Linked DNA regions of Xenopus tropicalis. The protein of the gene in region 1 purifies or fractionates together with the protein of each later gene. This does not show direct contact. Links are inferred from orthologs where the notes say so. Each region holds a gene or a part of one and is shown on either strand. Other genes may lie near its edges.

The links.
Region 2: the proteins of nop2 (region 1) and nip7 purify together in Homo sapiens (affinity purification with mass spectrometry; 3 studies listed by BioGRID and IntAct, with this or other methods). This does not show direct contact. The link is inferred for Xenopus tropicalis from reciprocal best matches to the Homo sapiens genes NOP2 and NIP7.

What each region holds. Positions count from the first base shown.
Region 1 is NC_030683.2:10,040,631-10,058,232, forward strand, and holds nop2 (probable 28S rRNA (cytosine(4447)-C(5))-methyltransferase), read right to left. Parts: upstream 13,447-17,602; 5' UTR 13,343-13,446; exon of another isoform or gene 13,339-13,342; intron 13,262-13,338; exon of another isoform or gene 13,146-13,261; intron 11,755-13,145; 5' UTR 11,748-11,754; coding exon 11,642-11,747; intron 11,446-11,641; coding exon 11,406-11,445; intron 11,305-11,405; coding exon 11,240-11,304; intron 11,056-11,239; coding exon 10,661-11,055; intron 10,581-10,660; coding exon 10,531-10,580; intron 10,310-10,530; coding exon 10,212-10,309; intron 10,089-10,211; coding exon 9,892-10,088; intron 8,424-9,891; coding exon 8,334-8,423; intron 8,160-8,333; coding exon 8,072-8,159; intron 7,979-8,071; coding exon 7,838-7,978; intron 7,721-7,837; coding exon 7,581-7,720; intron 7,428-7,580; coding exon 7,338-7,427; intron 6,937-7,337; coding exon 6,814-6,936; intron 6,586-6,813; coding exon 6,488-6,585; intron 6,293-6,487; coding exon 6,162-6,292; intron 5,635-6,161; coding exon 5,237-5,634; 3' UTR 4,875-5,236; downstream 1-4,874. Other genes in the region: iffo1 (intermediate filament family orphan 1), read right to left, coding at 1-172. UniProt on the Homo sapiens protein: S-adenosyl-L-methionine-dependent methyltransferase that specifically methylates the C(5) position of cytosine 4447 in 28S rRNA. Required for efficient rRNA processing and 60S ribosomal subunit biogenesis.
Region 2 is NC_030680.2:61,097,230-61,106,878, forward strand, and holds the end of nip7 (60S ribosome subunit biogenesis protein NIP7 homolog), read right to left. Parts: intron 9,533-9,649; coding exon 9,394-9,532; intron 7,554-9,393; coding exon 7,413-7,553; intron 7,030-7,412; coding exon 6,910-7,029; 3' UTR 6,245-6,909; downstream 1-6,244. Other genes in the region: tmed6 (transmembrane emp24 domain-containing protein 6 precursor), read left to right, coding at 2,072-2,272, 3,119-3,245, 4,019-4,167, 4,289-4,522.

The DNA.
Region 1 (17,602 bases):
GGACATTGATGTTGGAGCCAAAGTCATTGCGTAAAGCGCTGGCCCCCCCGGTGGGAGCATAGGGGCCCCCCAGCAGCAGGGAGCCCTGGGGGGGAGATGTGGGGCTCTCCGCCGGCTGCAGGGGGGCATCAGAGGGGAGCAGGAGCAGGTTGGGGGTTAGTAAGGGGTTCATGGCTGCTCTGAGCACTGCGGAGACAGGGGAGGAGGGGGAGGACCAGGCTGAGAGATGCGGGGGGGGGGAGGAACAGTCACATCACGGAGAGCGGCTCGGAGGGAGGAAGGTGGCACAGGGCACTGCCAGGGCACGGAGACTGCAGGTTGGCAGGGGGGATGGAGCAGCCCGGGAGAGACAACACATCCCACTGACGCGCAGAGGGAATGGAGGGATGGAAGGGGCGGGGGGGGCGCATTCCTTCCTACATCACCGCAGGCTCAGCCATACCCCAACTGCAGCGGGGAGGGGGGGGGGGGGCAGAGGGACGCTAGGAGCGGGGAAGGGACAGGGCTACAGACCCAGGGACAGTGAATTGGCCTGACAACCACTTTGTGCCCTAATGGGGGGGCAAATAAACAGCCAACATCTGGGGGGGGCAGTTCTCTCTTTCTCTCTCATTTCCCCCTTCTCTAACTGATACTTTGATTACAAAAAAACTGCGGTGATAATGTGACCACTAGAGGGCGCCGTTGCTTGTGGGGCGTCTACTGGTCCCTTGTTTTGCCTTTGCAGGGGGGTAGGTATGGCAGCTCCCACACACGGAAATAATAATATAAAGGAGGATCTCTGTGTAGAGGAAGGTGATATACAGTGGCCGCTGTCTGATAAATGATCACAAGATAATAAGGCTGTGGGTGATTTATAGGGCAAATAAAGCCATGTGAGAAGCTGCAAAATAGCCCTATGCCTTTACTTGTCCTTTAATGCAGGGGAAACAACCTGCTACCCCCCAAGGGTTTTCCAACTACAGTCTTCAAATCAAACTGCCATCTGTGCAACCAGATGGGCAATACAAACAGTGCCCACCGGCTCTTTGGCACTTTCTCCCACCCCTGCCAGGAGTCATTGCCCTGCACCCACTATCCCTGCTTTGGATGACTTCCCAGCATGCTCTGCTTTTACCAGCTTTTGTGAGACAGCTGGCCGCTGCCTGGCAGGGATGAGACAGCTGGACTGTGGCATTAGTCCTGTGTGTAATTATTCTTCTGGGAGGGGCATTTGTTAGCTGCTGGCATATTACCAGCCAAATGCAGTGTGTGTATATATTTATAAGCTAGAGTAAGCCTTCCATTTATATAATATAAATATAATCAGCCCATTCATAGGCCCCTGCCATCTGGCAGCAGCGCCCCCCCTTGTGCCAGGAGCCATAGAGTGTGTGTTGGTGCAAGTGACTGGGAGCTGCGTGGGAATGTGTATGAGACAAGCGTTGGAGGAATGCAGCGAGACCCCCAGGCACATGAGTAAGGAATTCTCTCTGCATCATTTGAAAAACAGCAGGCGTTGGTTATTATAGTCAGTTCTGTAAATCCATCAGCTGTCATACATATCCATACATAGCCAGTCAGGATCGGATTAACATGGGGGGGTGAAATGTGAGGTAGCCTCAGGCTCCTCGAAGCCAAGGCCTTATTCAACCAAGATCGAGGCACATGTGGCTTTGTATGTTACTGCCACTGTGTGTAAATGTAGATGTAGTTTGGTTCCCTGTAGATTGTTGCTGAGTTACCCTATTTAAACTTCAACTCAGTGCTGGTATCAGAAATCATAGTGTCCCATTCTACTTAGCTGCCAACATGCTTGTCTATGCTTTCAGTGGGGCAGGTAATTTATGAGTTGGGTGCAAGTTACTTATGAGTAACCTACCTTGAGTCAACCTACCTTTTGGTAAGGTATACTGGGGGAGCTGGTAGCAGCCCTATGTCACTTATGCCAAGGTGAGGTGGTTAATCTTGGGCTGTATATAAGGCAGCTTCCTCAAGGAGAAGAAATTAGATTAAATCCAGAGAATGGAGATAGTGCCCAGGGGCAGGAGGTCTCAGTGAAGATAGTGCCCAGGGGAAGGAGGTCTCAGTGGAGAATAGTGCCCAGGGGAAGGAGGTCTCAGTGAAGATAGTGCCCAGGGGAAGGAGGTCTCAGTGGAGATAGTGCCCAGGGGAAGGAGGTCTCAGTGAAGATAGTGCCCAGGGGAAGGAGGTCTCAGTGGAGATAGTGCCCAGGGGAAGGAGGCCTCAGTGAAGATAGTGCCCAGGGGAAGGAGGCCTCAGTGAAGATAGTGCCCAGGGGAAGGAGGTCTCAGTGAAGATAGTGCCCAGGGGAAGGAGGTCTCAGTGGAGATAGTGCCCAGGGGAAGGAGACCTCAGTGAAGATAGTGCCCAGGGGAAGGAGACCTCAGTGAAGATAGTGCCCAGGGGAAGGAGACCTCAGTGAAGATAGTGCCCAGGGGAAGGAGGCCTCAGTGGAGATAGTGCCCAGGGGAAGGAGGCCTCAGTGAAGATAGTGCCCAGGGGCAGGAGGTCCCAGTAAAGATACTGTGCAAGCCTATAGAGAATCCTACTGTATATCTCAGTAGAAGACTAGTAGGACTAGCTGGCCTAAAGACTAAACTCTTGCCCAAGTTCTTTATCGATACAAGACAGTCAGGCTTGTGTAGCTATAAAGCACCAACAGTAAAGTTAATCCCCAAGTGACCCAATTAGAGCTGAGATGGTTTCTAGTTCCAGTGTGGTGCCATACTGTCCTGTTGGGCACAGTCTCTAGGGGCACCACACACTCTCAATAACACATGCCCCCAATATACACTGAAGATGCCCCCAGAGTGAGATGGGTCCCTGTGCTGGTTTGTCCTGCTGTTAGTGGCCTGGGGCATGTGTTTAGCGCAAAAATGACATTACAATAAGCTATGATGGAAGGTTCTAGTATAAGGCACTGTGTGGGTTCAGAGCTAGAAGGCAGGGTTTGGTATATATGCCAACATTCTGGGATGGATACTCAGCCATGTCCCAATACATTAAAGCCATTCACAAACCCACCCTTCTTTCCAGAAAGCTACACATCCCTTCTTGAACTTTGGCATTGATAGCCCCCTAAAGCCTATGGGGGAAATGCTGTATTTTATATTTTATTTTATATAATGATCCAGGCCTGCACAGCTATCTCCAGCACAGGCTAACAGCCGAGAGTCAGTGGCACTGCACGTGCTCAGTGGGCTGCTGCTGAGAAGCTAAGCTTAGGGGTTGTGGGAAATTAGCAAACATTAGCAGATAGTGAGGTTCCAGCTGTCACAGAAGCTGATGCTACAGGGCTGAATAATAACCACAAGGCACTTATGCCAGTCGCAGGTTGAACAATGAAAGTGAACATTTGATTGGTTGCTATGGGTTACTGGGCAGGTGCAAATTTGCCCAGAGTTTATAAATGAGCCCCAGTGTGTCGGTCCCTAAGCTCAGGTAAGCTATACATAAGTACATACCACAGATACTTTACATACAACCTTAACATGCTTAATCCCTCTGGAACCAGAAGCAACATGAATTTAATGGAATTTTAGAAGCCAATGAGAGCTGCCCATGAGTACAGTAATAGCGCTGACCTAGGGGAACCCGTGCCTTACGATGAGTAACCAACCTTTAGGGATCATGGCTCACCGAGTGTAGGGTGTATGATTCATGGTATATATTATTTCATATATATTTATTTCCTAAGGGCTGCCCCCTGGGATCATAGGAGTCACAGTGAACACAAACAAGCCAAGGCACACATACATGCTAGGCCCCATCAGCCAATGAATGGGCAGAGTTCTGCCTTTTGCTCCCATACTACTCCCTGTTACAGTTAGAGCTGCATCACTTCCCGTCAGCTGATCTCTGAGGGAGCACACAGCCCATCACAAAATGGCGGCTCAAGGGAAAGGATATAAAACGGCAATATTTACTGATATATATATTCCAGTTTGGTGAGATTCTTTAATAGGCCACTTAATATGATATATAGTTTTCTTTTAAGAGGTTCTAGTTGTTTTGCTGATTTTGGCCACCAATACACTGCGCCGTATATAGATGGGATCTATTGGCCCCTGGGCCTAGGGCTGAATCATAATGGGGCCTAAGAATTCCAGTCAGGGAGGGCTGCAACGGTCACCTTATGTTTTACATTGCTGTACAGTTCTCGTTTACCCAAAAGTCCCGCACTTGTTATCAATCAGCTCCTACTTGATTGGATAAAATGATTCTTAGTAAAATTACACTTGTCTTACATGAAAACCTATTGTATAATCTCTGAGCCCTTGTGTACAGCAGCCCCAGGAAAACATGGCTTCCCCTGAATTCCACCATCACCTCCTCTACTGTGATGCCTCCTTCTCCTTTGTACTCCAAGGGCAGGACTTGTGCTGCTGTACACCCTTGCCTTGTACTGCAGCAGTTTGGTTTGGTTGCACTAAAGGGGTATTCCTTTTTGAGAAGCTCAGTGGTTTAAGGCCTGGCTTCCTTGCTGATTGGTGCAAGTAAAAATACTTTTTACCTGTTTTTCCATAGCAGTTGCAGTGCTATAGTGAAGACATTGCTTCTGGCAATTCTGTGCCAGCTGGCATCCCTAGCGCTCTCAAACCAGATCTTGCAAGAGTGGCAGGGCTATAAGATAAGGCACCAATGTGTCCAATCCTGACTGTGGGCAACATACTGCCCCCTACAGCTTATTGTGGGCTGCCACTCACCCTATATTTGCACCAATCAATAATGGAGCACCTTACACACATCAGCCTCACTCCCCCCAGCACCACATGTGCATTTAAACCCTCACCCCTTCAGCCCTCTCCGTTCCGGGCATCTGCTCTTTCCTGGAACTGACAGACCCAAAGTCAAACTCCATAAAAACAATATTTTTTTTTTCTATTTTTATAAAACAGAACCAATATGTTTACAGGGCTGGCGGCTGCCTTGGTTGGAAACAGAAGTCTGGAGGTGTGAGACCCAAGACACTATACATCATCATAAGAGTTTACATAACAGTAGCCCTGCATGGAATATGCAGGAAAATAAAGATGGGCCAGTGCCAGAATGTCTATTATTTCTGCTGATTCTCCCACAGAACCCCACAGACTCTGAGGGTGGCCAGGCTCAAGGCCACATTCAAGATGCTCCCAACCACCTTTCAGTTTGCAGAACATTCTGAAGTTCTATGGAGGAGCAGCAGGCAGGCTGAGTCACAGGGCAACAGATGGTCAATGTCATGCGGAAAAAGTTATTTATTCGTTTTCTTTTTGAACATCTTTTTCTTCTTTGATGCTACTTTCTTCTTATTTTTATTGCCAGTCACCTTCACAGCTTTCTTCATATGAGCTTTCTTTATTGCAACTTTCTTTTTCTGAGCTTTCTTCTCTGGTTCCTTCTCATTTGCCCCTTTTTCCTTTGCTGCCTTCTCATTTCCCCCTTTCTTCTTTGGCGCCTTCACATTCCCCCCTTTCTTTGGCGTCTTCTCATTCCCCCCTTTCTTCTTTGGCATCTTCTCATTCCCCCCTTCCTTCTTCGCTGTGTTGTCCTTCACATCATTCTCCTCTGGAGCTTTCCTCTTTGTAGCTTTCTGCTTTGTGGCTTTGTCCTCATTCAGCTGATCTGGGCTGGGGGTCTCAGTCTCTTCATCTTAAGGGGAGAAAGTAAAGCAAATTGTATAGGATCATGTGAGATACTGATTCGCAGTCAAGGAACTGCATAATGAAGGGAGGTTCTATACAGAGGAAACCTGGATAAAAATGCTGGAAAGGATTTCAGAACCCATGACTGGGAATGGGGTCACTGAAGGGAAGATGTCAAAAGAGGCTAAGGAGTAAAGAAACTAAGGGAAAAGCATAACTAACTTGAGGCAACTATGAGCCAAAGCATACACTTGCTCAGACACATAAGGCAAAACACACGAGAAACTGTCAGCAGGCATAAGTCTAGGAAGGGCTTTTCCACATGTGACCCTCAGAGATATCTATGTCCCCCCAAGACTGCTCAAAAAAAAAAACCAGCTCTTACACTTGTAGCACAGTACGATATGGAATAAATTGGGCCCCACTGATATAGAGAATAAGCATGCAGTGTTTGGGAATACATTTATATCAATAACCGTAAGATGCCTTACAGACCTCAGCAGAGATGCATTAGCGGTTACAAAAGAAGCTTACCTTTATTTGGCTTGGGGATGGTGTTGGAGAACTTGCGCAGCTTTGCAATGAAAAAGCCGTCCATATTGTGAGTGTGTGGGTAAAATCTTCGTGCCTGCCGCAGCGATGGGTGAAATCGCCGTTCCTTGAACCTGACAGTGGGAAGGATTATTTATAAATGGACACACTGACCAATCCATTGTGCAGCCAGTACAGATTCTGGTGGCAAAGCCCAAAACACATCTTTACCCAAGGAATCACAGGCAATACAATAACAAATGCAAGGTGATCCTAGCAAACAATCAGCAGGAAGTGTAAGGGCACATATACAAGGATGTCACTATTACCTGACAAAACCTTCCTTTCCAAAATCCAGTCCTGTTGGGACAAGTTTGACATTTCTCTTCTTTAAAGCATAATCCACTACACATTCATTTTCCTCCACCTGCAGGGACAGAGACTTAGAATTAGGCTTGAACCGGACTTTTTCTGTTGTCTTGACAAACAATGTGCCACTCAGCAGTACCACTAAGCAAGGTGCCATCAGTTTAACCATATAAAATGAACCAAGGAAGAAAACACTTGGAAAACAAAGGGGACAGAGTGTAATAAACAAAAGGTGTCTCATTTCACCCTGCCTGAAGCAGCTGTGGATACAGTCCAGCCAACTCACCGTTATGGAGCAGGTACAATACACCATAAACCCGCCAGTCTGTGACTGGGCATCCAGAGCATCAATAGCACTGAGAATCAGTTCCTTCTGTATGTGGGCACAACGCTGGACATCCTGTACACTCTGCGTAAATACAAATACACAGCATTATTGCACTGCCATTGTACCTTCTTTCACTTACTCAGGCTGTGAACTTGTTTCTGGGGCTCCAGAAAAAGTTAGCAAATGTACTGGTTATAATCAGGACAAGAAATACTGAATAGATACTGGGTGCCAACAGAACTATGGAGCTCACTTTAGCATCACACATGCAGAGGCAACCACTATTGTTCCTGTGTCCCCTATGGAACTGAACAAAAAAGGATGTAAGGTAAGAAAACAAAAATCCTCTTTTCAAAATCAGGCTGCCCCTTTTCCCTACACTAGAGGCCCTAGGAGGGCCAGCCCCATAGTTTTGCAACAACTGCCTTAGAATATAAACAAAAAAATAATATGGAGCAGCACCACAGTAATATATGTGTTACCTTATTTGTTTTAACGGCAGGATCCTTGCTGATAATCCCGGTACCACTGCACGGAGCATCAAGGAGCACTCTGTCAAAGCCCCCTAACACCTGGTAAGGTATTGAAAAAAAAAAAAAAAAAAAAAGTCAGTAAGTTCCAAAGCCAGTTCTTGGCCTTTCTCTTCAGAACCATGAAAAATCCCCCTAATAGGCAATATATGCCAGTACCCTGATGCCCTCAAGCTTTTGCTATTGTCAGCTGACCTTGGATATCTGCCGCCCATCATAATTGCTGATGATGCAGTTTGTCACCCCCAGCCGGTGAAGATTGCCCACAACACTGCGCAGTCGGTCTGCATTCATATCATTGGCCACGACTATACCTGTGTTCTTCATCAGCTGAGCTGGAGACATAAGGAAACAGAACATTAACGAAAATGGGCATTTCTCCTGACAGCACCAGTCTACTTTCAAGTTACCATCTGCCATCTGTTCCTCCTTTCTAATTTCCCTTTACTTACCCATGTAGCTGGTCTTGCCGCCAGGTGCGCAACACATATCCAACACCCGCTCATTCTCCTGAGGAGCCAGCGCGATGACTGGTAAAAGACTAGACGCACCTTGCAGCATGTAATGTCCGGCTAAGTACTCAGGGGTGGCACCTAGGCACACAAGCAAGAAAATAAGTTAGGCTTCTCATCACAAGCAAACACAGAGTCCTTCCCTTGGCACAAACTCGCATCCCATAAACTCACCAATTGGCACGGAAGAGTCGTAAATAACAAGTCCAGTTTTTGACCATTTACCCAAGGGATCCAAATTTACACTGCGGTTAATGAGAGCCTAAGAAATAACAGAAAAAGAGAAAGTAAAGTAAGATTTTTGTTATGCTCACTTTCACCTATTTCCTCAGAGGACAACTGGGACAAGAAAAGAACCAATGGGGGAAGCATGTAGTTGTAATGGCACACAGTGGGATTTGGGCCGTTTGTTACTAGAGCTGACAAAGTTCTGCACCTGAGCAAGGTCACGTCTTCTTGTCTTTAAAGTGTTGGTCCTGATTGTTATCGGTCGCTGAACTTCACAAGCCTCAAGGAAATCTACTAGCTGAAATTAAATGAAAGGGGAACCAGGGAGAATGAAAAAGAAAGGTTTAGATACAATGGGACAAAACAGTAGACATGGCACTGTAATGAAATACCATTATACAGATAGCTAGAATCTCAGCCATAAAGCAGGGCAGGACTGCTGCTTACAATGGGGATCAGATAGGATCTGTGCCACTGTGACAGAATGCTCTGTTATACAGATAGCTAGAATCTCAGCCATAAAGCAGGGCAGGACTGCTGCTTACAATGGGGATCAGATAGGATCTGTGCCACTGTGACAGAATGCTCTGTTATACAGATAGCTAGAATCTCAGCCATAAAGCAGGGCAGGACTGCTGCTTACAATGGGGGAATCAGATAGGATCTGTGCCACTGTGACAGAATGCTCTGTTATACAGATAGCTAGAATCTCAGCCATAAAGCAGGGCAGGACTGCTGCTTACAATGGGGGAATCAGATAGGATCTGTGCCACTGTGACAGAATGCTCTGTTATACAGATAGCTAGAATCTCAGCCATAAAGCAGGGCAGGACTGCTGCTTACAATGGGGGGGATCAGATAGGATCTGTGCCACTGTGACAGAATGCTCTGTTATACAGATAGCTAGAATCACAGCCATAAAGCAGGGCAGGACTGCTGCTTACAATGGGGGGATCAGATAGGATCTGTGCCACTGTGACAGAATGCTCTGTTATACAGATAGCTAGAATCTCAGCCATAAAGCAGGGCAGGACTGCTGCTTACAATGGGGGGGATCAGATAGGATCTGTGCCACTGTGACAGAATGCTCTGTTATACAGATAGCTAGAATCTCAGCCATAAAGCAGGGCAGGACTGCTGCTTACAATGGGGGGGATCAGATAGGATCTGTGCCACTGTGACAGAATGCTCTGTTATACAGATAGCTAGAATCTCAGCCATAAAGCAGGGCAGGACTGCTGCTTACAATGGGGGGGATCAGATAGGATATGTGCCACTGTGACAGAATGCTCTGTTATACAGATAGCTAGAATCTCAGCCATAAAGCAGGGCAGGACTGCTGCTTACAATGGGGGGATCAGATAGGATCTGTGCCACTGTGACAGAATGCTCTGTTATACAGATAGCTAGAATCTCTGCCATAAAGCAGGGCAGGACTGCTGCTTACAATGGGGGGATCAGATAGGATCTGTGCCACTGTGACAGAATGCTCTGTTATACAGATAGCTAGAATCTCAGCCATAAAGCACTTGAGAAACCACTCAAAGATTCAGGGCTTGTAACAGCCCAAACTGAAACTTTCATAACTTGTCCTCACCAAGAACATAATGCACTATTGTAACATCTATTTTATACATTTCAGCCAACACTGAATTTGCAATAACAATTGTACCAAATGTTTTCTGTAGGACACAATGCCAGATTTCCTCGGCACAGCTCTCACCCACCATATATACAACCGCCTTTCATACACTGCTCACTCTCACCTCCGACACAGGGAAAAGTTCACTGAGCGTCTCAATCATGTAATCTCCGTAACTGTAGTAGGTAGCGAGATCTTTCTTGAGCACTTTGAGGTACTCCTGCCGCGTCCGACCTCCCCCGCGCTGTGCGAAATTCTGCAGAACTCCTACTATATCCTTAATGCGCTCCTGCACTGTGACAAGATCTGGGGCAGTTGAGACTGCAGGGGCAGTTAAGGAAGGGTCATTCTAAAGCAACATGAGCTGGGGTGTAGAAATTTTAAAGAATTAAGAAATTCGGGAAGGGTGGGAATGAGGTACAATCCAAAAAAAGATAAGGATACGCTCCTTTTCCAACTCTTCTTCAGTTGGAAGCTGAAATAGTTCTTCGGAATCTACATTCAACTGAATGGTGCTCTCTTCTCCTGTCAGAGCTTCTTCACTATATGGAACAGATCAGAATGGGAGAGATTCCGATATGAAAAGTCGAGTTATTTACAGGTAAAGAGAACTGTGCAAATAGGGAAAGGAAGGGGTGCCCAGCATAGCAGCCAGCAGGCCGGGCAGAGTTAGAAATGCACCGCAGGCTGAACAGAGGCAATAATAGGGTATAGGGTCTGTGTGTGTATGTGGGGGGGATTATTCTAAACAAAGGGGTGTTACCTTTTTTGTTTTTTTTTCTCCTTCTTGGATGCCCGCTCTATTGGAAGAAGCTACAAAGAAAAAAATTATGTCAATTACTACACAGTGGGGGAACAGAGAAATGGGAAAAGGTGCACTTGATATCACTTACATCCTTCTCATCCCCTGACGAGGTTCCATAATCATCCTGAAGATCATCGCTGTCTGACAGGGAGAGGGATTCGCCAAACTCACCATCACCATCCTCCTCCTCATCACCATCCTCCTCCTCCTCATCATCACCATCCTCATCTTCACTTTCCTCTTCTGCATCTTCCCTCTCATCACTCTTCTCTTCCATTTCTTCATCTACCTCCTCCTCCATCCCATTCTCTACCTCCTCCATTTCATCCCCCTCTTCTTCTTCTTCATTATCCTCCTCACTATCATCTTCGCTTTCCTCATCTTCTTCCTTGCGAGCTCTTTTCACAGGCTTCAGCCATTCTGCATTGTCATCAGTAAATCCCGGCAGGACTTTCTTTTCGCCTATTTTGAGCTTTGCATTGGCTGAAATAGATTGAGAACCATGGGAAAGAAACACAGAGAGTGAATAATGTAGCAAACGGCGTTACAACATTAGGAAAGGACAAAAAAAGAGAGAAAGGGAGAGAGACAAGACATCAAAGAGATATTAACAAACATGAGGAAAGGGGAGCTGGATGGGGGAGGGGAGGCAAGAGAGACTCCATACCATTGCTCTTTGCTGGGGGTTTGGCTGCTGCTTTTTGCTCCTGTAACATGCGCCTTTTTAGTGCCCTGGAATGAGACAAGGGAAGGAAGGGACAGATAAGTTTGAGCAATTACCAAGCACCAGAAATACTTGGCTTTGCCTGTGCCCCAAGGCTCAGCAATCTCACCTCTTCCTGCCGCGGCTGGACATGCGCTTTGCTTCTGTGTCTGAGTGAGAGGGAAAGAGAGAGCAGAAAGTCAATGGAGGCTCAGAGAGGAGACAGACAGCTAGAACATCATGGGGCCAAATACACTGTTGGGCATTTCCAGCCTGTAACTTTAAGAGATGCTTAAAGGGGAAGTTCAGAAAGTGGAACAAAAAGGCATGAAATGGGTATTAAAGCCCAATCCAGTGGGCACTCACCCTCTTGCAGGATGTTCTTTAGCTCATTTTCTGCCCCATGCTGCTTCCTTGCTTTACGGCCTGGGCCACGAGGCACCTTCCTCAGCGGGTCTAATTTCCTACCCATGATGCACCTGTATGAAAAGAGAGCATGATTCAAAAGACATATGGTTCCTCTACAGTGTGTACCTACCATGACAGGTTACAGGCTGACATCACTGCTTGTTTTGGGGGTGGAGCTCTCACTGCATTACACAGAAATCATCCCTGCAATGAGCATCATAGTGCCCACAGACACCAGCTGAGGTTTAGCCACTGGGCAAGGGGGTAAATGTGTTGAGATCTCACAAAACACTGTCCATTTTTTGTGGGAGGCACAGGTTGCTAAGCAGGGATCATCGGGTGTTACTGTAACCATGTTACCCTACTGTTGCCATCTTGCTTTGCTTTACCCACTATTCCCTACATTTTTTTTTTAAATAGCACCATAGGGCAATCACACATATATGCCATCTATATAGATTGTAAGCTCTACGGGGCAGGGACCTCCATTCTCTTGTGTCTGTGACTCTTAACTTATTGCAACTGTATCTTGTATTTATTGTTATACTTTTTATGTATTTATCTATTATCTTAATAACCCCATTTGTATTAATGTATTCTACTGTACAGCGCTGCGTACATAAGTAGAGCCTTATAAATAAAGATATACATACATACAACTCCCTGCCAATTTGCAGCTTAGATTCTAACAGACTATTAAAGGGGCAGTAGCATGTCCAAAATTGTTATAAATAAGAAATGTGTTCTCCCACATCTGTGCTGGACCCCCCAGGGGTACTTTAGGTGCCTCCAACACTCCATAAAGGCAGGTTAATAGTCGCCAGTAGGGGGCAGTAACTAATGGGAATGACGATCTCTGTAAAAGGCAACAGAAAATGTCATTATTTAATAAGTTTAATGACTTTAGATCTGTCTGGGACAGGACATGAAATCAGAGGTTGAAGACACACAGAGCTACTAGTAGCAGCTACTTGTCCTGGTCACTAAAAAAGTCAATGCTGATCATTTACTGATAGTTGTCTCTATGTGTGTTTTAGCAGAGGCAATTCTCACTCTTGTCTATGGCAGGGGATTTTCTGGAGTTTAGTAGCCTTGAAAAAGTAGCTGCGACTGGTAGCTCAGTGTGTCCTCACCAAAACAGAATAATGCAGGGTGACCAGGACACTTGAAAATTCAGGGAAAGGTATAAAAAATCCAGCCAGCAGGGCTGAACTGATTGCAGTTTAATTCAAGTACAACCAGGGCTGCCCTCCAACATGCATGTTAGACGTGTCCCTTAATCTTCAAGTGATCTGACCACCCTAGGGTAATAGTGTATGCAGGTGACTGCGCTGGGGCAGATATGCGCTATGTTACTAAATAACGCTGCCCCAGGGCTCCCTGTGAGGACGAAGGACACAGATAAGGATTTGATTCCTACGCTCCCAACATTCCTTATACAGGGAAGCGACTGCTTTATTACTTGATTCCGGACTGCAGGATCCCAGCGCAACACACCGGGTACAGCGTTACACTGTCGGACGCTAAAGTTTGCGAGGCTCCCACAGACGCTTAGCACGTATCCCGTATTAGACCATTAATAGTACTTGCCCGCCCTCCCGTCACTACACACAGTCTGACAAAGCTGGGAGAGAATACACGTTATGCGCCTTTACCTACTGCCGGAGTCGCTTTCTACTCGGTCTCACGTGTTGCCCAGGCTGGCTTCCGCTCCGGCGCACTGCAATGACGTCACGCCTGGGATTCGGGCATGTGGCGGGGTACCGGAAGTGACGGAAGCAGGGCCCGGCAGTCTGATTGGGTATATGGGGTGCTGGCAAGAGGAGGTAGAATAGGCAGAGGTATCTGGTTCTATGGGCAGAGTGTATGTTTTAGAGATGCCATGAACTGCCAATAGGGGCTTGTAACCAACAGGCCGAATTATTATTCGCCATTATATTGAGTTGGGAATTGGGCGGGTCCCTGGGAATGGGATATGATGGCGCAAACACACGTATGGGGGGGGGGGCTGTCTGTGGCACCTTACAGCCCCCCTGGCATTCCCAGTACCCAGAGGCACAAACAGCCCCCCCAGCCCAATAACTAGTGACTGTCTGTGGCACCTTACAGCCCCCCTGGCATTCCCAGTACCCAGAGGCACAAACAGCCCCCCCAGCCCAATAAATAGTGACTGTCTGTGGCACCTTACAGCCCCTGGCATTCCCAGTACCCAGAGGCACAAACAGCCCCCCCCAGCCCAATAAATAGTGACTGTCTGTGGCACCTTACAGCCCCCCTGGCATTCCCAGTACCCAGAGGCACAAACAGCCCCCCAGCCCAATAAATAGTGACTGTCCTGTGGCACCTTACAGCCCCCTGGCATTCCAGTACCAGAGGCCCCCCCCCAGCCCAATAAATAGTGACTGTCTGTGGCAACCTTACAGCCCCCCTGGCATTCCCAGTCCAGAGGCACAAACAGCCCTTAGCCAATAAATAGTGACTGTCTGTGGCACCTTACAGCCCCCTGGCATTCCAGTACCCAGAGGCACAAACAGCCCCCCCAGCCCAATAAATAGTGACTGTCTGTGGCACCTTACAGCCCCCCTGGCATTCCCAGTACCCCAGAGGCCAACAGCCCCCCCAGCCCAATAAAATAGTGACTGTCTGTGGCACCTTACAGCCCCCCTGGCATTCCCAGTACCCAGAGGCACAAACAGCCCCCCAGCCCAATAAATAGTGACTGTCTGTGGCACCTTACAGCCCCCCTGGCATTCCCAGTACCCAGAGGCCAACCCCCAGCCCAATAAATAGTGACTGTCTGTGGCACCTTACAGCCCCCCCTGGCATTCCCAGTACCCAGAGGCACAAACAGCCCCCTTAGCCCAATAAATAGTGACTGTCTGTGGCACCTTACAGCCCCCCTGGCATTCCCAGTACCCAGAGGCACAAACAGCCCCCCAGCCCAATAAATAGTGACTGTCTGTGGCACCTTACAGCCCCCCCTGGCATTCCCAGTACCCAGAGGCACAAACAGCCCCCCCAGCCCAATAAATAGTGACTGTCTGTGGCACCTTACAGCCCCCCCTGGCATTTCCCAGTACCCAGAGGCACAACAGCCCCCCCAGCCCAATAAATAGTGACTGTCTGTGGCACCTTACAGCCCCCCTGGCATTCCAGTACCCAGAGGCCACGCCCCCAGCCCAATAAATAGTGACTGTCTGTGGCACCTTACAGCCCCCCTGGCATTCCCAGTACCCAGAGGCACAAACAGCCCCCCCAGCCCAATAAATAGTGACTGTCTGTGGCACCTTACAGCCCCCCTGGCATTCCCAGTACCCAGAGGCACAAACAGCCCCCCCAGCCCAATAAATAGTGACTGTCTGTGGCACCTTACAGCCCCCCTGGCATTCCCAGTACCCAGAGGCACAAACAGCCCCCCCAGCCCAATAAATAGTGACTGTCTGTGGCACCTTACAGCCCCCCTGGCATTCCCAGTACCCAGAGGCACAAACAGCCCCCCCAGCCCAATAAATAGTGACTGTCTGTGGCACCTTACAGCCCCCCTGGCATTCCCAGTACCCAGAGGCACAAACAGCCCCCCCAGCCCAATAAATAGTGACTGTCTGTGGCACCTTACAGCCCCCCTGGCATTCCCAGTACCCAGAGGCCCCCCCCAGCCCAATAAATAGTGACTGTCTGTGGCACCTTACAGCCCCCCTGGCATTCCCAGTACCCAGAGGCACAAACAGCCCATTAGCCCAATAAATAGTGACTGTCTGTGGCACCTTACAGCCCCCCTGGCATTCCCAGTACCCAGAGGCACAAACAGCCCCCCCAGCCCAATAAATAGTGACTGTCTGTGGCACCTTACAGCCCCCCTGGCATTCCCAGTACCCAGAGGCACAAACAGCCCCCCCAGCCCAATAAATAGTGACTGTCTGTGGCACCTTACAGCCCCCCCTGGCATTCCCAGTACCCAGAGGCACAAACAGCCCCCCAGCCCAATAAATAGTGACTGTCTGTGGCACCTTACAGCCCCCCTGGCATTCCCAGTACCCAGAGGCACAAACAGCCCCCCCCAGCCCAATAAATAGTGACTGTCTGTGGCACCTTACAGCCCCCCTGGCATTCCCAGTACCCAGAGGCACAAACAGCCCCCCCAGCCCAATAAATAGTGACTGTCTGTGGCACCTTACAGCCCCCTGGCATTCCCAGTACCCAGAGGCACAAACAGCCCCCCCAGCCCAATAAATAGTGACTGTCTGTGGCACCTTACAGCCCCCCTGGCATTCCCAGTACCCAGAGGCCCCCCCCCAGCCCAATAAATAGTGACTGTCTGTGGCACCTTACAGCCCCCCTGGCATTCCCAGTACCCAGAGGCACAAACAGCCCCCCCAGCCCAATAAATAGTGACTGTCTGTGGCACCTTACAGCCCCCCTGGCATTCCCAGTACCCAGAGGCACAAACAGCCCCCCCAGCCCAATAAATAGTGACTGTCTGTGGCACCTTACAGCCCCCCTGGCATTCCCAGTACCCAGAGGCACAAACAGCCCCCCCAGCCCAATAAATAGTGACTGTCTGTGGCACCTTACAGCCCCCCCTGGCATTCCCAGTACCCAGAGGCACAAACAGCCCCCCCAGCCCAATAAATAGTGACTGTCTGTGGCACCTTACAGCCCCCCTGGCATTCCCAGTACCCAGAGGCACAAACAGCCCCCCCAGCCCAATAAATAGTGACTGTCTGTGGCACCTTACAGCCCCCCTGGCATTCCCAGTACCCAGAGGCACAAACAGCCCCCCAGCCCAATAAATAGTGACTGTCTGTGGCACCTTACAGCCCCCCTGGCATTCCAGTACCCAGAGGCACAAACAGCCCCCCCAGCCCAATAAATAGTGACTGTCTGTGGCACCTTACAGCCCCCCTGGCATTCCCAGTACCCAGAGGCACAAACAGCCCCCCCAGCCCAATAAATAGTGACTGTCTGTGGCACCTTACAGCCCCCCTGGCATTCCCAGTACCCAGAGGCACAAACACCCCCCCAGCCCAATAAATAGTGACTGTCTGTGGCACCTTACAGCCCCCTGGCATTCCCAGTACCCAGAGGCACAAACACTCCCCCAGCCCAATAAATAGTGACTGTCTGTGGCACCTTACAGCCCCCCTGGCATTCCCAGTACCCAGAGGCACAAACAGCCCCCCCCCAGCCCAATAAATAGTGACTGTTTGTGGCACCTTACAGCCCCCCTGGCATTCCCAGTACCCAGAGGCACAAACAGCCCCCCCCAGCCCAATAAATAGTGACTGTCTGTGGCACCTTACAGCCCCCTGTCATTCCCAGTACCCAGAGGCACAACAGCACCCCCAGCCCAATAAATAGTGACTGTCTGTGGCACCTTACAGCCCCCCTGGCATCCCCAGTACCCAGAGCACAAACAGCCCCCCAGCCCAATAAATAGTGACTGTCTGTGGCACCTTACAGCCCCTAGGGCATTCCCAGTACCCAGAGGCACAAACACTCCCCCAGCCCAATAAATAGTGACTGTCTGTGGCACCTTACAGCCCCCCTGGCATTCCCAGTACCCAGAGCACAAACAGCCCCCCCCCCAGCCCAATAAATAGTGACTGTTTGTGGCACCTTACAGCCCCCCTGGCATTCCCAGTACCAGAGGCACAAACAGCCCCCCCCAGCCCAATAAATAGTGACTGTCTGTGGCACCTTACAGCCCCCCTGTCATTCCCAGTACCCAGAGGCACAAACAGCACCCCCAGCCCAATAAATAGTGACTGTCTGTGGCACCTTACAGCCCCCCTGGCATCCCCAGTACCCAGAGGCACAAACACTCCCCCAGCCCAATAAATAGTGACTGTCTGTGGCACCTTACAGCCCCCCTGGCATTCCCAGTACCCAGAGGCACAAACAGCCCCCCCCCAGCCCAAT
Region 2 (9,649 bases), on another chromosome or scaffold:
ATCAGCTCACTAATATCAAACAATTTTTATTTAATTACTGATAGGAGTTTACTGTGGGTTTTATTTTCTTCGTATAAGGCATTACATTTTTAAGACATTTTAGGAGTATTTTTCCTGGAATACAATGCAATCAAAATATAGCAGTTATAATTACTATTACATAGAAACTACCCATGCCTTGATAGAGGCACTATATGGAATTGTTGAGTGTACCAAGTGGTGTGATATAGTGTCACTACAGGCTGATGCCCCTGGTCAATGAACATGTTGAACTATAATGGCACTGTCCCACCTTTTCTATTTAGTTGGATGTTTATGGGTTGTTTACCCAGACACATTTGCCCAGGGTTTAAAATAGCCTATACACCATGAATTATCTGGTGTGCTACATTTTTTGTGGGCTGTTTTAGTGAATAAATAACCCCCCATTGTAAAATATAAGGATATTGTAAGTCGCCTTGGAATTCCATGAGCATATAAAAGCAGGAGGCCAAAGAGATCCTGGGAGCTTAGTATCACTGTTGCAGCATGTACTGATATGATCCTGTACCATCAAAGTCAGCACCACTAAGAGAGATTGTGAAGATATTTCATCAATAAAGAGTTAGCATTTGTTTTTGAAGAACCACTGCTGCCAAATTTATTTCAGAAATCAAGGGAGTTGCTAGGATTTGGACCCAGTCTGACCATATTTAAGGTGACCAATTAGGGTGACCCCCATATCCAAAAACCTGTTACATATAAATTTACTTATACTGAAACAGTAGGAACTGAGAGCCACAACAACCACTGAAGTATTTTTATTATAATTTTATGTAGTTGTCATGTAATATATACAGTGCATTTAAAAAAAAAAAGTAATTTTGGAAAAATGCCACAAAATAGCATTCATCACATTATAGTAATATTTGACAAAAATAATTCTCTTGTATTTTGTAAAAAAACTAAGCAAGTACATTTTTTGGCAGGCATAGATTTGCTACAAAATGCTGCTACAAAATTTACTGCAACAACAATTTGTGAGTGAAGAAAAAAGTGCTGTGGCATCAAATAAATTGTGGTTGCATAAAAAAAGTCACTGGCAAGTAAAAAAAAAAGTTGCGCACATCAAAAAGTCATGCATTAGCCACATTTTGCTAATTTTTCGCTGCTTTGTGAAGTGGAATGAGGCAGATTCACTCATCACTACTGAGTAATTAATTTGTTAAGTACTATAATACTATAAATGGCCTCTTTAGTGTTATAAGAGAGATGAACAGAGTATCATTAGGACTTGCTGCCATAATCAATAATTTAAGCTTTTGCCAATCAGCTTGGCCTGACAGGACAGCAGGGGGCACTCAGCTTACACATTCATTACATTAACTGTATAAAAACTTCTACTGTTGTGAAAGAGAAAATATGCTTAACGTATATTGCTCAAATGTTCAGAACAGCTCACATATGTTTTATATTAAGTTGTATTGGACCTCTTTAAGGGAAGAAACTACCTAATTTTAGTTTTATTTATACCTTATGTAATTTATACAGGGCGTTTAAAAAAATAATTTTAGAAAAAATTACAAAATAATATTTGACAAATAAATAGTTTTAAGTATATTTTGTAAATTTTGTACAACTTTGTAAATATTTAAACTCATAAAACATTTTTGACTTAGGTTACGTCTTCAGCCTTAAGACTAGCAATATATATTTTAAGTACTATAATTTGGTAATTTGTGTATTTTGGTTATGATAATGTAAAAAAGTAAAAATATAATATATATTATATGTATATATATGCTGTTCTGTGTGTGCAATAGCAAATAAGACAAATATATTTAAACAGAAGACAAAGCACATTATTATATCATTTAAGGTTGATGCAGCATTAGAAACATTAAGTAATACTGTAAGCTGCCTGTGTGAATTGTACAGGTGTTTAAAAATGTTCCATCTCCTTTAATTGGCTGTAGCAGGTGCTACGCCTTGTCAGTTTGTCAAGCAGAGGCTGCTTGGTTAGGTTAATGATTGCCACGCTTCTCTAGGTCCTCATCTGCTGCATTCATTGCATCTCAGGCTGCCCTTAATCATGCTTCCAGTTGTGGTGTTCCTACTGGCCCATTTATTGTTTAGTACTGCCCAGAAGTCTGAGCCACTTAGTGATCCCAATGCCCAGTCTTTGTTTCGTGGTGCCGACCGGTATGATTTTGCTGTCCTGCTGGGCCCTGGAGGAACCGAATGCTTCTGGCATTTTGCTCATCAGGAGGGCTACTTCTACTATGGATATGAGGTGAGTTGGTATGTGATGTCCCAGATGTGAAACAAACATTTCTCTTTCTTGATATATATTTTAATCTCAAAATCTCTATAAATATCATCCAATCAATGTATTCATGGATCATCAATGCTCATTGAAACTGCAGACTAACAGCTGCAATAGAGGGCCAGGCAGTGAACAGATGACAGATCTGGTAAAATTTGAAAATCATAATACAAATGCTAATGCTTAATCCAACTGTTGGTAAAATAATTGTGTTAAACTTGCACTGCAGTTGGAAAAAGAAACACCTGCTGCCTGCCAAAAAACATATCACCTCCTTATCTCTTAAACTGCAAGGTGACCCAATGCTTTCTCAGTCTTACAGCACAAATTCACTCGTACACAAAGCTCATACTAAACTTAACATGTATTTTATTGCTGTAACAAATGTTGGCACTCCCCCAGAATAACACATAGAGGCTGATTTATTAATGATTATCTTTTTCCAAATTGCAGGGAAAAAGTGATTTTAATTATTGATACATTTACCCTAAAGTGTTTGCATGTTAAAGTTGCCGTATACATTTATTTCAGGGAGATATTATAACTGGTTTTAAGGAAGTAAAGTAAGACTTCAACACTATTGTGCAAGTGCCTAATTATCATCCTTTATGCCAAGTAATACCTCTGTGTATGGTGTTAATACTTTACCTTATATTTTATTTTCCTTAGTTCAAGTAAGTTCAGGTAGTATGCCTTGCACTGCATATTGTCTTCCTCCTGTTGGAGGGAAAGCTACCTTTTTCTGTGAAGTATTGTACATGGAAGGATTAAAAAAAAATTCTACCAGGCAATGAATGTATAAATTCTCTGCAGGTTCAGTGGACATCAGGGATAATGCAGAACAGACATGTTACTGCCTCAGCTTTTACTCCAGAAGGCTTCCAGATTGAGCAATCACAGGACACTCGCGGTCAAATTAACTTCAAGACAAAAGAGACTGGTAATGTGGATAAACATATTCACACTCTAAATGAGCAGCCACTTAAAGAAGTAAAGCTCAACAAAGAATTAGACAAGGACTGCTGCTTCTATAAGTCCAAGGCTATTACAAACCTTTAACAGTGAAGATTTGTGCCTTTGAAGATACTTCCAGTAGTTCCTCACTCTGTATTGCTGTGTAGTGATGAGTGTGTGGTGAAACTCAGTCCTTTGCCATTAACAAATATTTTAGCTTATAAATACTTCTGTTAGTTGCCTGAACTTAACTGAAATTATACAGTATATATGTAATCAAAAATCTACAATGCAAGGAATGTTGCTAATTAATTCACATTACACGGCAGCTCAGAAGCTAGTGTATTCTGTATCATAATAAGCTCCTGTAGCTTCTCTGACAACTTGTAACCTCAAGGTTGTACAATTATTGATATAGGGCCGTGAAACCTTTAGGCTGGTACAGTAAGTTCATTATATAAAATACTGCATACTATATTTTTTAAGGCTTTGTTTCGTTAGAGCTTCCAACCCATAATGAACCAAAAGTAATTCTTAAATAGAAGGCAACTATGCACAAAAATTAACAATCTTTACACTGCATTCCCAAACTTTGCATTTACTTTTGACTGTGAATTAGTAACAGCAGCTAAAAATTGGCTCATACATTTATGCCCCCACATTTAAGAGTGAACAAATAGTTTGTTCTTCACGAAGAGGACACAATGTCAATCACAACTGCTTTGTGTCATTCTTTTATGTATTATCTTTGTTTTTCAGGATTTTATCAGATTTGTGTGAACAACTGGCAAAATAGTTTTGGTCAAGCACAGGTCTACCTAAATTTTGGGGTATTTTATGATGGTGTTGGGCCAGAACATGTAGAAGACCAAAAACAGAAGTTAAATGACACCCTAGTGACTATTGAGGTAATTTGTAACACGTTTTGTTGTTTTTTTCCCCTATCTTCTGCAATTTTGCCCAGTTAATGGTTTCTATGCTCAAGAGAGTGCTTAGCTCTATATCTCACGAGTCTTTGCTTTTCTTCAGGAAAGTGCACAGATTGTACAGAACCGCGTGCTTCATATGTGGCGATATTACAACTTTGCAAGGATGAGGAAAGGGTCTGATTACTACATCCTCTTATCAAATTATCACTACGTGAACTGGTGGTCTGCTAGCCAAAGTGTGCTAATTGTGGCCTCAGGAGTCCTGCAGCTTTACTTCCTGAAACGTCTCTTTAACGTGAAAACAACAACAGACTCACAAAAACCCCGATGTTAAGTGAACACAAACAGCAGTTGAAGATTACTCTTTATAGCCCAATACGCAAAAATGAACACGCAAACAAGATTCTCAAAGAGGACATCATCTAGGCAGGCTAGCAAGGGATGTTACTGTTGATGCTGATTGGGCACATTTTGGTTGTTGCATAGCATCTGCCTACAAAATCTAAACCTTCTAACCTAAAGCCAGATTGATACCTGTTTCTTGTCCATTAAATAGCCTTTGGGCCATATGGAAATCAAGTGATCAAAGAATAGGAACATTTGTTGCTATAAACTGAACAAAAAGTTGAACATCTCATATATGAAAACAAGTTATTAAAACAAGTTAACTGTCACATTAATGTACAATGTACAGATAACCATGAAATAAAAACAAATGGAATTTGTATGCATGTTTTATTGACCCTTAGATAACGTATATAAACTGACCCCATAAGCCCTGTCACACAAATAAAGGTATTTTCTTTTTTTTAATTATAGAAGGCTTCTTAGAGATGATGGCAAATTTCCTAAGTGCCAAAGCATTATCCCTTCCCTTTTATTCTTTCTACTTCTTTTTCTGCTATTCCTTTGTTTTTTTCCTCCTACAATTTCCCGTGCTTAAATATATTAACCTTTTTTTCTTCTTTTACTATTTTTTTAAATTTTATCACACTAATTTCCCCTTTTTCTTGATCTTCCCATTGTCCTTTTCTCTCATTCAACTCTTGCACCCTATGACTTCTCCCTTGCCCCATTCCACTCTCTTCCATTTTTTTTAATGCTCTCTACTTCTCCCTTTCTTTTGCGTTTGCATTCTTCCTGTCCACTTTTTTTTTTTTTTTTTTACAAGGAGCTTCTGTCTCCATACATGTTGTTGTATCCAGAAATACTAATACAAAAAGATTGCAAATTGCTATTAATTGATAGTACACTAGGGAGTTGTTGAATATCTTTGATTGGTTTCAAGTTTACTGTCAGTTAACACCTCTTTATTGCTTACAGCTAAAGTTACCCAGAGGAATGCCTATATAGTTCTTTAAAAAAAAAAAATCAAATATTTGTATAGTTATATGAAACAACAAAACTAATAGGATGGCCTGGAATTAACTAAAAGTCCTGTATGGCTTAGGGGACCTAGCACAACCTAACCTATACTTTTTGCCCACCCACTTTTTTTGTTTTTTACTTTCTGTAGAATGCTTAGCTTCAGATTTCTGCTTTTCTTCGGGAATGTGCACAGATGGTAAAGAACTGTATGCTTCATATGTGGCAATATCTTTGCAAGACATCCTTTTATAATTTAATCACTAAGTAAACTAGTGGTCTGATGGCTAAAGACTGCTTATTATAGCCTCTGCAGTAGCTTAGTAGTAGTAGGATTTTTTTATGATTACAACAATATGCAAAAAAAAAAAACAAATGTTCAGTGCAAACCCTATTCATTGATCTCATGTGGAACAAGAGTTATCCTGCCCTTTTTATGACCTTCTGTTCCATCGGATAAACTGGAATTCCCTCAAATCGTAACACTGCAGGTATGCATCCTTGTAATGCACAATGAAATTAAACCATTAAATTAGGGCAGAACTAGGATTTGGAACAAGTCCTGTACTATGCCAAGAAAAATACAGCGACTGATTGGAGGGGACACGTCTGTCCACTAAATCATCTTTGTTAGCAAAGCTATTCCTCTATTTACATTAGAGGGGTTTGTGGAACATCAAGAAATCTCATGTTTTTGTAATTATGGTTTATATTAAAAATTATCTCATTTTAAACACAATGACAATTGCACACATTGTGTGCACACAACTTCTGTTCACATATTTGCATTTATAAAAGCATGAAGCAGACAAGTTTGTCTCAGGTGTTACTCTGTTGTCATATGGGGAAAGGAAAATATGCTGCTAAAAAGATTTGCAGCTCACAGCAACCAGACAGGCAAAAGAATACATTAGTAAACATCAGATTATTAGAAAACCCAAGACTAAAACACCATGGACTGTGACAGACTTAGTTTATATACTACAGTTTTAATCTGTGAATAGTAAACAATTTAAATAATTATTTGTGTCACGTGCATAGACTCAATTCACCACACTACTGAAAGTGTGTATTGCCAACTCTGGAAGCTTTTCTGATGTCATGAAAGAAGTTAGAGATCCCATATGTCAAAGTTTAATCAAAGAATAGTCTGAAAAAAGGGGAACACAATCCTCTCAGTTCAAGACAGCATGTCAGTCCAGAGAAAGCAACAATGCTGAGAAGACACAAATGTTCATGATGTATGTACTGTTCCTCAGTAAATGAAGTTTATACAAATATGTTGTGCCTGCTTCGCACAAACAAGGCATTTAGTCCATATAGTTTTCTTAGAAAAGTAGCTATTTGCCTGTACATTTATGTTAAAGTATCTTCATGCCTGATGTACTCCCCAACATCTGCCTGGTGAAAAACCACAATTGCCATAGGATCAAGTTTTCTGCACTCTTGAGTTGACTTTGCGGCCACTCCAAATCCCTGCAGAACAACAGTGAAAAATAAGTCAGGTTTCAGATTCAAGACTGTATAAACCCACTGCAGTATGCAGTAATCTTACTGCTCTAAAATTAGAGAAGCTGTTTACAATTCAAAAACTCAATATGCACAGAATTCAATCAAATCCTAGCAGTCCAGATTTGCGTCCTGAGTGTTTAGCAAAATCTAAACCCTTAAGGTTCTGGAAGACTGAACTAAAAAATGTATAGTATGCAACTGATACAAATGTTTAGTTCTGAATATGATAACCTGGCGCTTCGCATTATTAGCTGAATCTATAATTAATGTAAAAAAACAAAAAAAAAACTAGAATACGTTGACTGTGTTCAAGACATCATGTAACTATATTCTACACATTCACTTACCAGTGGTATGTCAGCCATAGAATACACCACCACTCCTTGGTACTGAGATGTGTTTTCTGTGATACGCCCCAAGCCAGATTTTAGCACATGGTTTCCATAAAGAAAAGACTGCTCTGCTCCAGGTTTCACCCATACTTTGTACTGTGAGGTAGACAAGGTGTAAGAGTAGGAAATGTTTACAACATACTTTGCTTACATTACAAACACCTTTACATGGCAGTAGAGCTGAATACTGAACAATACGAGTGCAGATGTTTTGGATCAAAGCAGTCAGAGCAAGAGTACAAATATGTTCCGAAGTAAGGCAATACTGATTTAAAGGACAAGGAAAGAGCTTTTCTCTGGGAATGCCAATGATTTATTATACACCGCCTAGTGACGAATTGCAAAGCACAGACCATACTTTGCCATTTCTCTTTGCTTAAAGGACAAGGAAAGGCTAAGTCACTTGGGGGTGGCAAAATGTTAGGCACCCCCAAGTGACTTAAATCGCTTACCTTGTACCCCGGGCTGGTGCCCCTGTTAGGGGAAAACAGCACCAGCCTCGGGTACCTGTCGAGAGCACTTCCTCCTTCCCACTCGTGCTGCAGCCAATTGTCCAGAACAAACGCATGCGCAGTAGAGTGAAAAGCCGACTTCTCTGTTAAAGTTCGGCTTTTCACTCTACTGCGCATGCGTGCACAATTGATCAGGAAGGAGGAAGCGATCGCTGCTACCTCGGGCTGGTGCTGTTCTCTCTGTACAGGGGCACCAGCCCGGGTTAGAAGGTAAGCGATTAAAGTCACTTGGGGATGCCTAACATTTTGGCACCCCCAAGAGACTTTGCCTTTCCTTCTCCTTTAAAACAAATTCCAGAATGGAATTTGGGCCAGCTGTACCAACAAGACTGTTGGAAAAGAAAAGATTTATCAACCCCAGGAGATCAAAACCTAGCGATAATAATATGAATATAGGTATATCAATTTCCATCTAGATTGTAAGCTCTACGGGGCAGAGACCTCCATCCTCTTGTGTCTTTGACTCCTAACTTATTGCAAATGTATCTTGTATTTATTTGTGTTTATTGTAATACTTTTTATTTATCTATTTTAATACCCCGTTTATATTAATGTATTCTACTGTACAGCGCTGCGTACATAAGTAGCGCTTTATAAATAAAGTTATACATACATACATACCAGTACCATTTAAAAAAAAACACTGAGTTGTGTAAAGAAAGTTCCCATAATGCCTTGCTCCTATACCGGGACCCAGACCGGTGTACATGCTCAGTTTGTAAGACTATGAGGAAGCTTCCTGCTGATTGGCTCAGATCCACATTCCTAAGGGGGGGAGTGAGTTCTTAGCATTCTTGAGGGAGGGGGGAGCAGGAGAGGGGAGAGAGTCAAGAGCTGCATGTCTCTGGCAGAGGAAAATAGACAACAAATCTTTTGACAGAGAACTCAGTGCAGCATTTCTGTGAGTGCTTAAGGCTGTATTTACATAGACCTTTCTGATAAAGCTTACTTAGTTTTTACCTTTCTTTCTCCTTTAATGTATTTTCTGTTTTTTTGGCAGCGGTTGATCAGCGCTGCTATGTCAGTGGGCTATTTGTTAACGGAATATGCAGTTTTTCGTTGCTGAAATGCTGTATATTCATTGCTCAGAATGCCACAATACCAAAATGAAAGAGGGAGGGGAGGTTGTAAAGAATATGATTGTTGGCTTTTAATAAGAAAACCTTGTGTATATGTGTAGGGGTTTAGTCTGAATAAGACCATGCATATTGTCTTATAATTCTACTGTATCGTATTCTACTAAAATAAAGGAGTGATTTAGACCTAACATAAAACAGACATGAAATTGATATAGTGAATATGTGATGTGTGTGAGAAAATAAAGAATATTTTAAAGCACTACCTGTGTGAACAGGATCTTCCTAAAAAGTTTTATTTCTAATAAAAAAAAATAAAAATAAAATAGAAATAAGAAAATTTCTGACCTTTGCATAGGGTGCCAGATAATCCAAAGCAGTGACATGCAGACGAAACTTGTGTGTCTTGGTAAATTTTCCAAAGCAGGTTCCAAGGGATACTAGCTTGTCTCGAGCAATGTTGGTTGCAAGTTTAAGGATCCTTTCACTGGAAGAAAACCATAATTTATAGGTTAGAGGGATTTTGTCATGATTTTTATGGTGTACTTTTTATTTCTAAATAACATTACTAAATTTTTTGTAGTAATATTGGTGTGTAGGCGCA